Linked DNA regions of Oryctolagus cuniculus. The protein of the gene in region 3 purifies or fractionates together with the protein of the main gene of each other region. This does not show direct contact. Links are inferred from orthologs where the notes say so. Each region holds a gene or a part of one and is shown on either strand. Other genes may lie near its edges.

Region 1 (3,460 bases), on a different chromosome or scaffold from region 3:
GGGAAAACAGAAGATGGCCCAAGTCCTTGGGCCTCTGGACCCGTGTGGGAAATCCAGAAAAAGCTCCTGGCTTCGAATCGGCCGGACTCTGGCCTTTGTGGCCATCTGTGGAGTCGACCAGCAGATGGAAGATCTCTGCCTCTGTAACTGCCTTTCAAATAAATAGATCTGAAAAAAGGAACTAGAGCTGATAGTGAAGCCTTAGTATCTTACTCCCTCCAGTGTTTGACTTTTGCATCACTTAGTGACAGGATACTTTCTGAGAAATGTGTTGTTAGGCGATTTTGTCTTTGTTGACCATCATAGTGTACGTACACAAACCTAGATGGTTTGACCCACTACACACCTACACTACTATACGGTATATACCATCATTCACACAGCCTGTTGCTGACTGAACTAGACAGATAGCGCTACAGCTCAGTGTTAACCTAGGAAGAGTCTTGGCTTTTGGTAATGGTAGCAACATCCTCGTATTTTAGCAAGGGGACAAGAAAGTTCGATAAGAGGTGCTTAGGACCCAAGACAAGTATCAGTCTACACAACTTGGTTAGAATTTTCTCCAAAAGCTCCTGATTTCCTAGCCAGTATGTTTAAAGTTGTTTATCTCCTGTATATGCATGACTTTTAATTGACCTTGGCCATGTAAATTTCTGTTGAATAAATTGAAATGTCAGAAGCAAGTGAAATCTGAAATAGAACCACCCTGGGATGAAAAGTTGAGCCATTGAGCCTGCTGTGTGTGGACAAGCAGAGTGGTCGCAAGGGGTTTTTGTTTGTTTTTGTTTAGGTCAGTCAGCTAGCAGAGGTAAGGCAAGGCTGAACTAAGTTGAGACTACATGCTGACAGTTAAACTTTTATGCTTTTTGTTCAGCCTGTGTTAAAATATTCAGCAGGACTAGGTCTGCATTTTTGATCTTATGGGTATGGTGGTTTGTGTTAGTACCAAAGCCCATTTGCCCCGGGTGGATTTTTAAATCCTGGTTGACTTTGATCAAGCCTACTATTTGCTTGCTGTTTGCATAGCCCAGGAGTTAGGGCAACATTGAAACCTGGCTGTGGGACATTAGCCCATTGTTTGAGTTACTGCCTTAGCCTGTAGCTGAGGACTGGAAGGTCTGAGTCAATTGTATTAACCTGAACTTGTATTTAAAATGAGGCAAAAGTGCCAGCTTGTGTTCTTTTCTACACCTCTCCCCAGGTGAACTTAGTTTTTTTTCCTTTGTTTGAAATAGCAACTGGAATCATGTACAAAGTGTTGTTCAGCCCGTCTCTATTCTGCAGTCTGGGAGCCAGCTCTAAGGCCTCAGAAGGAAAAGGAGGCTTCTATCCAGCTGACGTTGGAAACGGTTCCAGCAGGGCCCCATACTATCACTGCTCAGGGACAGTTAGAGCACTAGTTTGTTTCTCAGGTGATTGAGGCAGACCTGAACTCCAAGCAGCTTTGGACAGAACAAGGACTAGAAATGGTAGAAGTTGCACACATGTCCCCAGGATCCACGCATGCTCGTTCTCTGCTACAAAGTTCAGAACCAGAGGCGAGCAGGAGGACTGACTGCTGGGAGAAGCAAGCAGACATGCAAAGGGTTACTCTTGCTACCCTGACAAAACAAGTCAAAGCTTGATGGGTCCCCTTTAGTTACCAAGCTTGTTAAGTGAAAAAAAAACAAAACAAAACAAAACAAAAAAAAACAAAAAACCAAGGTTTAGCCATCCATGAAGATGAAGCCTGTGGATTTTGCTAGAGTTCCACAGTTGACAAGGAAATTGACTTCTGAGAGGCAGACATAATCCTGTACCTATGTTTATCCATGGATAGCATCAACCTACAGACTTCTTGGTATTCCCCCCGCCCCCCACTTCAGTAGGTCTGAGCTGCTTTCCATCAGAGCCCAAGGGTGAGGGTAGGAGACTTTAGGGAGGTGGGTATTATTTTTTTCTACAAGGCACTTGGTTAAACTACTTGTCCAAGAATCCTGAAGAGCAGCAAGGTCTGGTTTTGTAAAACAGGATGAATGAGGCCTGCCCCCTCAAAGAAGCAGGGCTCTATGGAAAGTAGCCTCCCATTTATGCATTTGAGTAGGTCCTGCTTTGCTTCCCCCAGCAAAGCTGAGGGAGTTAGCCATGGCGGCTAGGTCCTGACATTAAGTGATGTCTAGATCACTATTTACCCCTTAGCTTCATTGGGGAGATCCATACAGGGCAGAGGGTTAAACAGTGGGTCTACAGGGCTGGTGCTGTGGTATAGCAGGTAAAGCCACCGCCTGCCATGCTGGCATCCCATATGGGCACCAGTTCGAGTCTTGGCTCTTCCACTTCCTATCCAGTTCTCTGCTATGGCCTGGGAAAGCAGTAGATGATGACCCAAGTGCTTGGGCCCCTGCACCCAAGTGGGAGAGCTGGAGTAAGCTCCTGGCTCCAGATCGATCCAACTCTGGCCATTGTGGCCATGTAAGGGAGTGAACTAGCAGATGGCAACCTCACTCTCTGCTTGTGTAACTCTTTCAAATAAATCCACCAATCTTGGGGGGGTGGGGTGGAGTGGGCCTGCATCATCCCACATACATGCGTGGAAGTCAGTTTAAATGAAGCCCAGGTCTTCAGAAGCAAAGCAGGCTTGCCTATACCCAGCCAAGCAGGTCACCAGAGTGCTTGGCCCTTAGTTAACTCTAAGGTCTGCTCCTCTCTGCCCCCCTGCAGGACCTCACTCCCTGGATGCATGCATAGTGGCGGCAGCCCCTCCACAGGCCTTCCTGGAGTTCTCGCATCTTCTTGCTGCCAGGAAAAGCCTACAGGGCTGCAACACCCACTCTACCTGCCAGCAGCAAAAGGAGGTCAGCCCCGCAGCAGTGCTGACCAACCTGGCCCGAGGCCCTGACTAATCAGTGCGATCCCGGACAAAACACCTCTAAGGGGCCAATACACTCAGCTCCAAGCAGGGAGAACACCGCAAGGGAAAATGAAGGAACTGTGTTCAAACCTAAATTTCCTGAAGTTACAAAACAAGCCTAATTGTGTACCAAACAAAAACAACAGCAGCCTATTCTACACATCTATGAACAGAAAACTATTGCCTGAATTTTACTTGGTTACCCTTTAGGGTGGTTTCCTTTTTTTTTTTTTTTTTCCCTTTAAGAATCCTACTTTCTTCTGGTCTACGTCAGCCAACTCCAAAGTAAGAGAAAGCTATTTGACAACTGACCCTTCTAACCGAGTGGGAAAACCCTGTAAATTAAAGCATATGAGTAAGAAGTGAGTGTTTTCTTAGAGTTCCTCTCCATCTCTTAGGACAATCCTACGAGCATTAAAGGACCGAGATGCTGAGACGAACCAGATTACACAGGTAGCTGCAAGTTCATGATCACAGCCTGTACCTCTAGACTCTGCAGCTATGCCCAGGAGACTGCCAGGGGAGCACTGGCCACACACTCTCTGGGATGGGCACTTGGGACCTGCAGCA
Region 2 (3,649 bases), on a different chromosome or scaffold from region 3:
CAGGACAGAATCCGGCACCCCGACCGGGACTAGAACCCGGTGTGCCGGCGCCACAGGCAGAGGATTAGTCTAGTGAGCTGCGGTGCCAATCCAGGGTTTTTGGTTGTTTTTTTTGTTTTTTGTTTTTTAGTATTTATTTACTCGAGGCCAGCACCGCGGCTCACTAGGCTAATTCTCCGCCGGCACACCAGGTTCTAGTCCCGGTCGGGGCGCCGGATTCTGTACTGGTTGCTCCTCTTCCAGTCCAGCTCTCTGCTGTGGCCTGGGAGTGCAGTGGAGGTTGGCCCAAGTCCTTGGGCCCTACACCCACATGGGAGACCAGGAGAAGCACCTGGCTCCTGACTTCGGATCAGCACGGTGCACCGGCCGCAGCGGCCATTGTGGGGTGAACCAACGGAAAAGGAAGACCTGTCTCTCTCTTTCACTGTCCACTCTGCCTGTCAAAAAACAAAAAAATTATTTACTCGAAAGGCAGAAAGTTACAGAGAGGCAGAGACAGAGAGAGAGAGATCTTTTGTCCACTAGTTCATTCCCCAAATGGCTACAACAGCCAGAGCTGAGCTGATCCTAAGCCAGGAGCCAGAATTTTCTTCCAGGTCTCCCACGTGGGAGGGGCTCAAGCAGTTGGACCATCTTCCACTGCTTTCCCAGGTCATCAGCAGGGAGCTGGATCGGAAGAGAAGCAGCCGGGTCTTAAACCCGCGCCCATATGGGATGCCAGTGTCACAAACAGAGGCTTAGCCTACTAAGCCACAGCACTGATCCATGATTCTTGAGTTCTAAGAATGTTTCTAAGTTGGGGCCAGAAGTGGTAGCAGATGATATTACCTTAGTTGTGCTTTGCTAACCTGAGGAACAAGTGTTTTTCACTCTTCACTACCTGTATGTAACCTTTCTTCCTCCTCTGTGTATAGCAGAGCAATGACATCGCCCGGGGCTTTGAGAGAGGACTGGAGCCAGAAAAGATCATTGGAGCGACAGATTCCTGTGGCGATTTAATGTTCCTAATGAAATGGTGAGCGAGACGGGTCCTCAGTTTGTCATTGTGGTCACTTTGCCTGTGACTTAAATTTGTGTGAAGGATGGGGTGGCAATACTGAAAATTTCCCAAAGTAATGATGTGGAATGCCGGGGATCCTTAACCAGGATGAGCTGTGGGCATTGACATAAGGTGAGTACTAAGGTTCGGAACGGACTTGAGCCTTTTCACGCTTGGGTATTCAGCCGGTTACGTTACAGTAGCCCACATGTTGGAAAGAGGCAAATCCAAGGTAGGAACCTTAGAGTCCTGATGAACCATTGGCTCACACAAGTCTGGATGCTTTACTGTAAGACAGTGAATCTGGAGCATGGCACAGGAGTTGAGTGAGGCTTTGCCATCACAGAGAGCCAAGGCCATTGACATGTGGCAGAAAAAATGAATGTTAACAGTGAGCAGCCAAGGCACAAGTGATGTCATCACGTAGAAAGAATGACTCTCGGAAGAAAGTGAAGTGCTGTCCCTCAGCTGGGTTTCTTAAAGGCAGGTTGGTTGATGGTGTGGCCCTCACTGCCTCTCAGTTTTTCCAAGGGTTCTGGGCTTGTGCTGTGTAGAGGGTTTGTGCCCCAATGCCACAAAGGAAGCTGAGGGCCCTACACGTTTCATCAAAGGTTTAATATTTCAACTGGTCAGAATGCTGCCGGGCACTGACCCCAAAACCTGTGTATGGAGGACCACGGTGTTCTGTCCGAAGTAAGGTGCTCTGTTGACTGGCGGTTTCCCTACTCAGCCGTATGTGTTACTTAGGGTTTGCATTCACGTATTAAATTGCTCTTTCCACGCTAATCCAGATTTGAGTCTCAGCTGCCTGTTTTCCCTTTCCTCACCCATAACACTTACCTCTGTGAGTGACCCAAAGGAGATAGCCCTTGTCACAGGAAAATCTTAATTAAAGTGCTTTTCCCTTGATTTAAGATAGTAGTTAAGGAACCGTATTCCTAGATTTTTTGATCACTTGATAAAGTAGGTTGGATAACTGGATGTTACAGCTAAAAATTTTTAAGATTTATTTATTTATTTGAAAGGCAGAGTGACAGAGAGGATGGGGGGAAGGCAGGGGAAAAAGAGAGAGAGCTTCCATCCTCTGATTCCCTTCCCAAACAACTGTAACAGCTGGGGCTGGACAAGTCTGAAGCCAGGAGCCTAGAACTCCATCTGGGTCTCCCATGTGGGTGCTGGGGCTGAGGCATTTGGGCTGTCTTCCACTGCCTTCCAGGTGTGTTAGCAGGGAACCGGATTGGCAGCAGAGCAGCCAGGACCCTTCCTGGCACTCTGCTGTAGGATGCCAGCGTTGCAGGTGGCAGCTTATCCCACTGTACCACAGTGCCAGCCCCACAGCTAAATTTCTATTTTCATACCATACCAGTCCACAATTCTGACCAAAGGGGTCATGAATATTTAAAAGGTCACAAAAGGCTAGACCCTGTTCACTGGGATGATCCAGAAACTGAACTGATGGGTTTACCCATAATTAATAGTGAGGTTCAATTGTATTTACTCACATGCTCATACATAAAAATTACGGAAGCAGAATTAGTATAATTTATTCAGCTTTTCAAACTCAGCCGTCATATTTTGCATCTAAATTTTTTTTAAAGATTGATTTATTTATTTCAAAGTCAGAGTTACACAGAAGAGAGGCAGAGAGAGAGAGAGAGAGAGGTCTTCCATCCGCTGGTTTACTCCCCAATTGGCCACAACGGCCAAAGCTGCACTGATCAGGAGCCAGAAGCTTCTTCCAGGTCTCCCACGTAGGTGCAGGGGCCCAAGCACTTGGACCATCTTCCACTGCTTTCCCAGGACATAGCAGAGAGCTGGATCGGAAGTGGAGCAGCCGGGACTCGAACCGGCGCCCATATGGGATGCCAGTGCCTCAGGCCAGGGCATTAATTCACTGCGCCACAGCACCGATCCCTTGCATCTGAATTTCAGCTACAGATTTCTGTATCTGTCTAATACCGTAGTTAAGCAATATGTACTCATGATTTGTTTACTTCCATTTCTCCTTGAAAATATTGAGCCATAAGGGTCCTTTTCACCTTGGAATCAAGTCCACTGAGTGCGTTGATGACATGAGCGTGTGTGTAGACGGTTTCTCTCCTTTTTGAGTGTCCCCTTCTTTCTCTGCAGGAAGGACACAGATGAAGCCGACTTGGTTCTTGCAAAAGAAGCCAACGTGAAATGTCCACAGATTGTGATAGCATTTTATGAAGAGAGACTGACGTGGCACGCGTATCCCGAGGACGCGGAAAACAAAGAGAAAGAAACAGCAAAGAGCTAAAGGAGGGGTGGGCTCTGTCTTTCTCTTTGTACATAATACATTCACCTCCCTTGCCTCCTCTTCCTTCTGCCCACCCCCTTCTCTCCTAAACACATCCATAAAAAATGTGCTTCTCACTGTGCCCCACAGGGGGAATGTTGGTATTGGTTCTCTGGTAGCCTAACTGATGGTCTGACTCAACGCGCAGTGTCTCCGTGCAGACCAGGCATTTACATACTGTGTGTAACTCCCACGATGGTTTCCTTTGCCCTGATCTCCTCCTCCTGCTCCCCTGTGACCTCAAGAGGAGTTTTAACTTTTTAATCACCTTCGAGTCCTGATCTTTCCAG
Region 3 (3,649 bases):
TGATGTATTCATGTGGAAAAGAGTATGAAGAGCTGTGTTCTCCAAGGCCCACAGTGAGCTAGGGTTTGATAAAGTGATGTTCTTTGTGTCCTCTTGGAGAGGACCTTTTTGGTCTACTGGTTACGTGTTCCCTTTGGGGACTTTGCTGTTTTACTTTGTCCCTTCCCCTCCTGCAGACCAGTCAGCACACGAGCCAGGCATGGAGCTGATGGACCTGCCCTACCGCCTGGTGTTTGCAGTGGCCTCCGAGGACTCTGTGCTCCTGTATGACACACAGCAGCCCTTCCCCTTCGGTTACGTGTCCAACATTCATTACCACACCCTGAGTGATATTTCCTGGTGAGTGCTGATAGCCAAGCGAAGTGAAGGAAAGAGAGGGCATTCCCGGGGCAAGCCTTGGGCTAGGGAGCATCAGTACTCAAGGTGGCTCCTTTGGCCCTCTACTCACCCTCTTTTTTTTTTTTAATGAATTAACATTTAAAGGTAAGCCATTTTTCATTTGCCACAGCAGTGCTTCCTGTTTGTTTTTTGTAAGATTCATTTTATTTGAAAGGTAAAACAAGAGGGAGAGACAGAGAAAAGAGATCTTCCACCTGCTGGTTCACTCCCAAATGGCCCCAACAACCAGGGCTGGGTCAGGCCAAAGCCAGGAGCCTGGAACTCCATCTGGGTTTCCTACATGGGTGCTAGGGGACCATCATAGTTGGGCTTTCATCTGCGGCCTTCCTAGATGCATTAGCAGGGAGTGACTGGGAAGCAGGGCAGCCGGAACTTGAACCAGTGTTCCAGTATGAGATGCCAGCATCCTAAGTGGTGACTTAACCTGCCGTGCCGTGGTGCTGGCCCCCACCTCCTGTTTTGACACCAGTGCATTTTGATGCCTTTCAATTGCCCTGTGAGATGTACTTGAACTCTGATAAACGAGAGAAGGCCCCATGGATTCTCTAGTCATTGGGGACTTGTCAGGCTCTGGGAAAAAACCCTCAACAGTGAGCCCTGCTGTCCAGAAGAGGGAGGGGGCCCCAGAGTCTGTCTCCGAGGTCGCCACCCTGCTCCTGTGGGAGGACCTGATGCACCCTCTGCTGCTTGCTCAGCCCAGCTGGAGCTCTGGCCAAGGCTTGGCCTGACACCATCTGTTTCTTGGTTCCTTTTTTCTTCTTTTAATTTTCTTTTGCCTTAGGAGAAAAAAGGTCATCTCACGTATATTCAGATGAAAGTTAGTAATACTGCACATAGCTGTGGTGACTTAGAACATGGAGATGGGATTGGGAGAGGAAATTGCACGCATAAGGAGCCTCTGACGGTAACAAGTGTTAAACAGGGTCCGCAGACTTTGGTGGCACCTCTGATTTCCCCGTTTTGGGAACACAGGTCCAGTGATGGGGCCTTCCTGGCCATCTCGTCCACTGATGGTTATTGTTCATTTGTGACCTTTGAGAAGGATGAACTTGGAATACCTTTGAAAGAGAAGCCAGTTTTGATCATGCGAACTCCTGATACGGCAAAGAAAACTAAGAATCAGGCACACCAAGGATCTTCACCGGGGTCCAGATCCATAGAGGGGACGCCCACCAGCAGAACCCAGGACTCCAGCAGTCCCTGTACAACCCCACCCCAGGCCAGACAGTCTCCGGCCCCAGCAGCCGTCAAGGACACGCCTCCCGTTCCTGGTGTCGGAAGCCCCTTGCCAGGACCTTCAGAGGAGAAGACCCCGCAGCACAGCAGTCAGAACCCAAGAGCGCCTCCACCCCGGAGGGTCACGCTCAACACCTTGCAAGCCTGGAGCAAGCCAACACCCCGGTGAGTTTCCACGAGACGAGAAATCATCACTGTGAAATGAAAAACAAATCAAACATCCCAGGGTGTTGTGAGTGAAATTCTAGAAGCAATTACTTGCCAGCAAGGGACATTTACTGTCAGGTCCAGTGACAGCGTGCTGGCTCGGAGGCCTCTGTTAGCTCCTCCCCTTCCTGTGTGCCTCATGCAGCCCATGCCCTGTGCATGCCTGGGGACTGTGGTTTGGTTGCAGCCTGTGTCCAGGACCGTAGCCCTCACTCTCCACAGTCCCACGTGCCTTACTCCTAAGCCTGGGCCTGCATGTGTGTTCTCAGAGCATACTGTTTCTGTTTTGAGGCTTTTGTCCCTGCCTTCCTTGGGAAAGCCCTGATCACCCACCCACCCACACCCCCTTGTTGGAACTAGAGTCCTCTTGAAAAACCCATTCAGGGTGAATGTCTCTTTCCACTCCTGGTCTTTGTGGCCCTTTAACCCTTTGCTTGCCATACCCATGACCCCTGTAGCAGGTGTTTCCTCAAGGGCAGGAGGCTGTTTGTTTGTTACCTGTGCTCTTCTGTCTAAGCACCAGGCACTTCCTGATATGCCAGGAATCAAAGGAGTGCCTTTTTTTTTTTTTTTTTTTTTTTTGACAGGCAGAGTGGACAGTGAGAGAGAGAGACAGAGAGAAAGGTCTTCCTTTGCCATTGGTTCACCCCACAATGGCCGCTGCAGCCAGCACGCTGCGGCCGGCGCACTGCGCTGATCCGAAGCCAGGAGCCAGGTGCTTCTCCTGGTCTCCCATGCGGGTGCAGGGCCCAAGGACTTGGGCCATCCTCCACTGCACTCCCAAGCCACAGTAGAGAGCTGGACTGGAAGAGGAGCAACCAGGACAGAATCCAGCCAAGTAAAATAAAATTTAATTTTTAAAAAGAAGTCACTCCTGGCCAGCGCCGCAGCTCACTAAGCTCGTCCTCTGCCTGTGGCGCCGGCACCCCGGGTTCTAGTCCCGGTCGGGGCGCCAGATTCTGTCCCAGTTGCTCCTCTTCCAGTCCAGCTCTCTGCTGTGGCCCAGGAGTGCAGTGGAGGATGGCCTAGGTCCTTGGGCCCTGCACCTGCATGGGAGACCAGGAGAAGCACCTGGCTCCTGCCTTTGGATCAGCGCGGTATGCCGGCCGCAGCGTGCCTGCCGGAGCAGCCATTAGAGGGTGAACCAACGGAAAAGGAAGACCTTTCTCTCTGTCTCTCTTTCTCACTGTCCACTCTGCCTGTCAAAAAAAGAAAAAAAAAATTATTTTACTTTTGAATGGTATGTAAGATTAGACATTTTTATGGGGTGCAGTGTGATATTTGGTATACATGTATATATGTATGTGTGTATATATATACATATATGATAGTGCACTTATCAAATTGCAGCAATTAGTATACCCATTACTTTAAACTTTTTTTGTGGTAAAGACACTCAAAATCTTCTCTTTTAGCCTTTTTTTTTTTTTTTTAGATTTTATGTGTTTATTTGAGAGAATTACAGACAGTGAGAGGGAGAGACAGAAAGGTCTTCCTTCCAGTGGTTCACTCCCCAAATGGCCACAACAGCTGGAGCTGTACCAATCGGAAGCCAGGAGCCAGGTGTCTTCCACATGGGTGCAGGGGCCCAAGCACTTGGGCCATCCTCTGCTGCTTTCCCAGGCCATAGCAGAGAGCTGGATTGAAAGAGGAGTAGCCGGGACTAGAACTGGCACCCATATGGGATGCCGGTACGGGCCCCCCTTTAGCTTTTTTGAAACACAATCTGTTTTATTGTTAACTGTAGTTAGCCTGCTATGCAGTAGAACATCAGAACTTTGTCTTCCTGTCCCACTACATATTTTAT

Evidence for each region.
Region 1: the proteins of CHAF1B (region 3) and CBX1 purify together in Homo sapiens (affinity purification with mass spectrometry; 4 studies listed by BioGRID and IntAct, with this or other methods). This does not show direct contact. The link is inferred for Oryctolagus cuniculus from reciprocal best matches to the Homo sapiens genes CHAF1B and CBX1.
Region 2: the proteins of CHAF1B (region 3) and CBX5 purify together in Homo sapiens (affinity purification with mass spectrometry; 8 studies listed by BioGRID and IntAct, with this or other methods). This does not show direct contact. The link is inferred for Oryctolagus cuniculus from reciprocal best matches to the Homo sapiens genes CHAF1B and CBX5.

The regions. Positions count from the first base shown.
Region 1 is NC_091448.1:24,353,177-24,356,636, reverse strand, and holds the end of CBX1 (chromobox protein homolog 1), read left to right. Parts: intron 1-2,700; coding exon 2,701-2,878; 3' UTR 2,879-2,931; downstream 2,932-3,460. UniProt on the Homo sapiens protein: Component of heterochromatin. Recognizes and binds histone H3 tails methylated at 'Lys-9', leading to epigenetic repression. Interaction with lamin B receptor (LBR) can contribute to the association of the heterochromatin with the inner nuclear membrane.
Region 2 is NC_091442.1:57,182,241-57,185,889, reverse strand, and holds part of CBX5 (chromobox protein homolog 5), read left to right. Parts: intron 1-914; coding exon 915-1,015; intron 1,016-3,169; coding exon 3,170-3,320; 3' UTR 3,321-3,649. UniProt on the Homo sapiens protein: Component of heterochromatin that recognizes and binds histone H3 tails methylated at 'Lys-9' (H3K9me), leading to epigenetic repression. In contrast, it is excluded from chromatin when 'Tyr-41' of histone H3 is phosphorylated (H3Y41ph).
Region 3 is NC_091435.1:8,449,319-8,452,967, reverse strand, and holds part of CHAF1B (chromatin assembly factor 1 subunit B), read left to right. Parts: intron 1-176; coding exon 177-339; intron 340-1,371; coding exon 1,372-1,800; intron 1,801-3,649. UniProt on the Homo sapiens protein: Acts as a component of the histone chaperone complex chromatin assembly factor 1 (CAF-1), which assembles histone octamers onto DNA during replication and repair.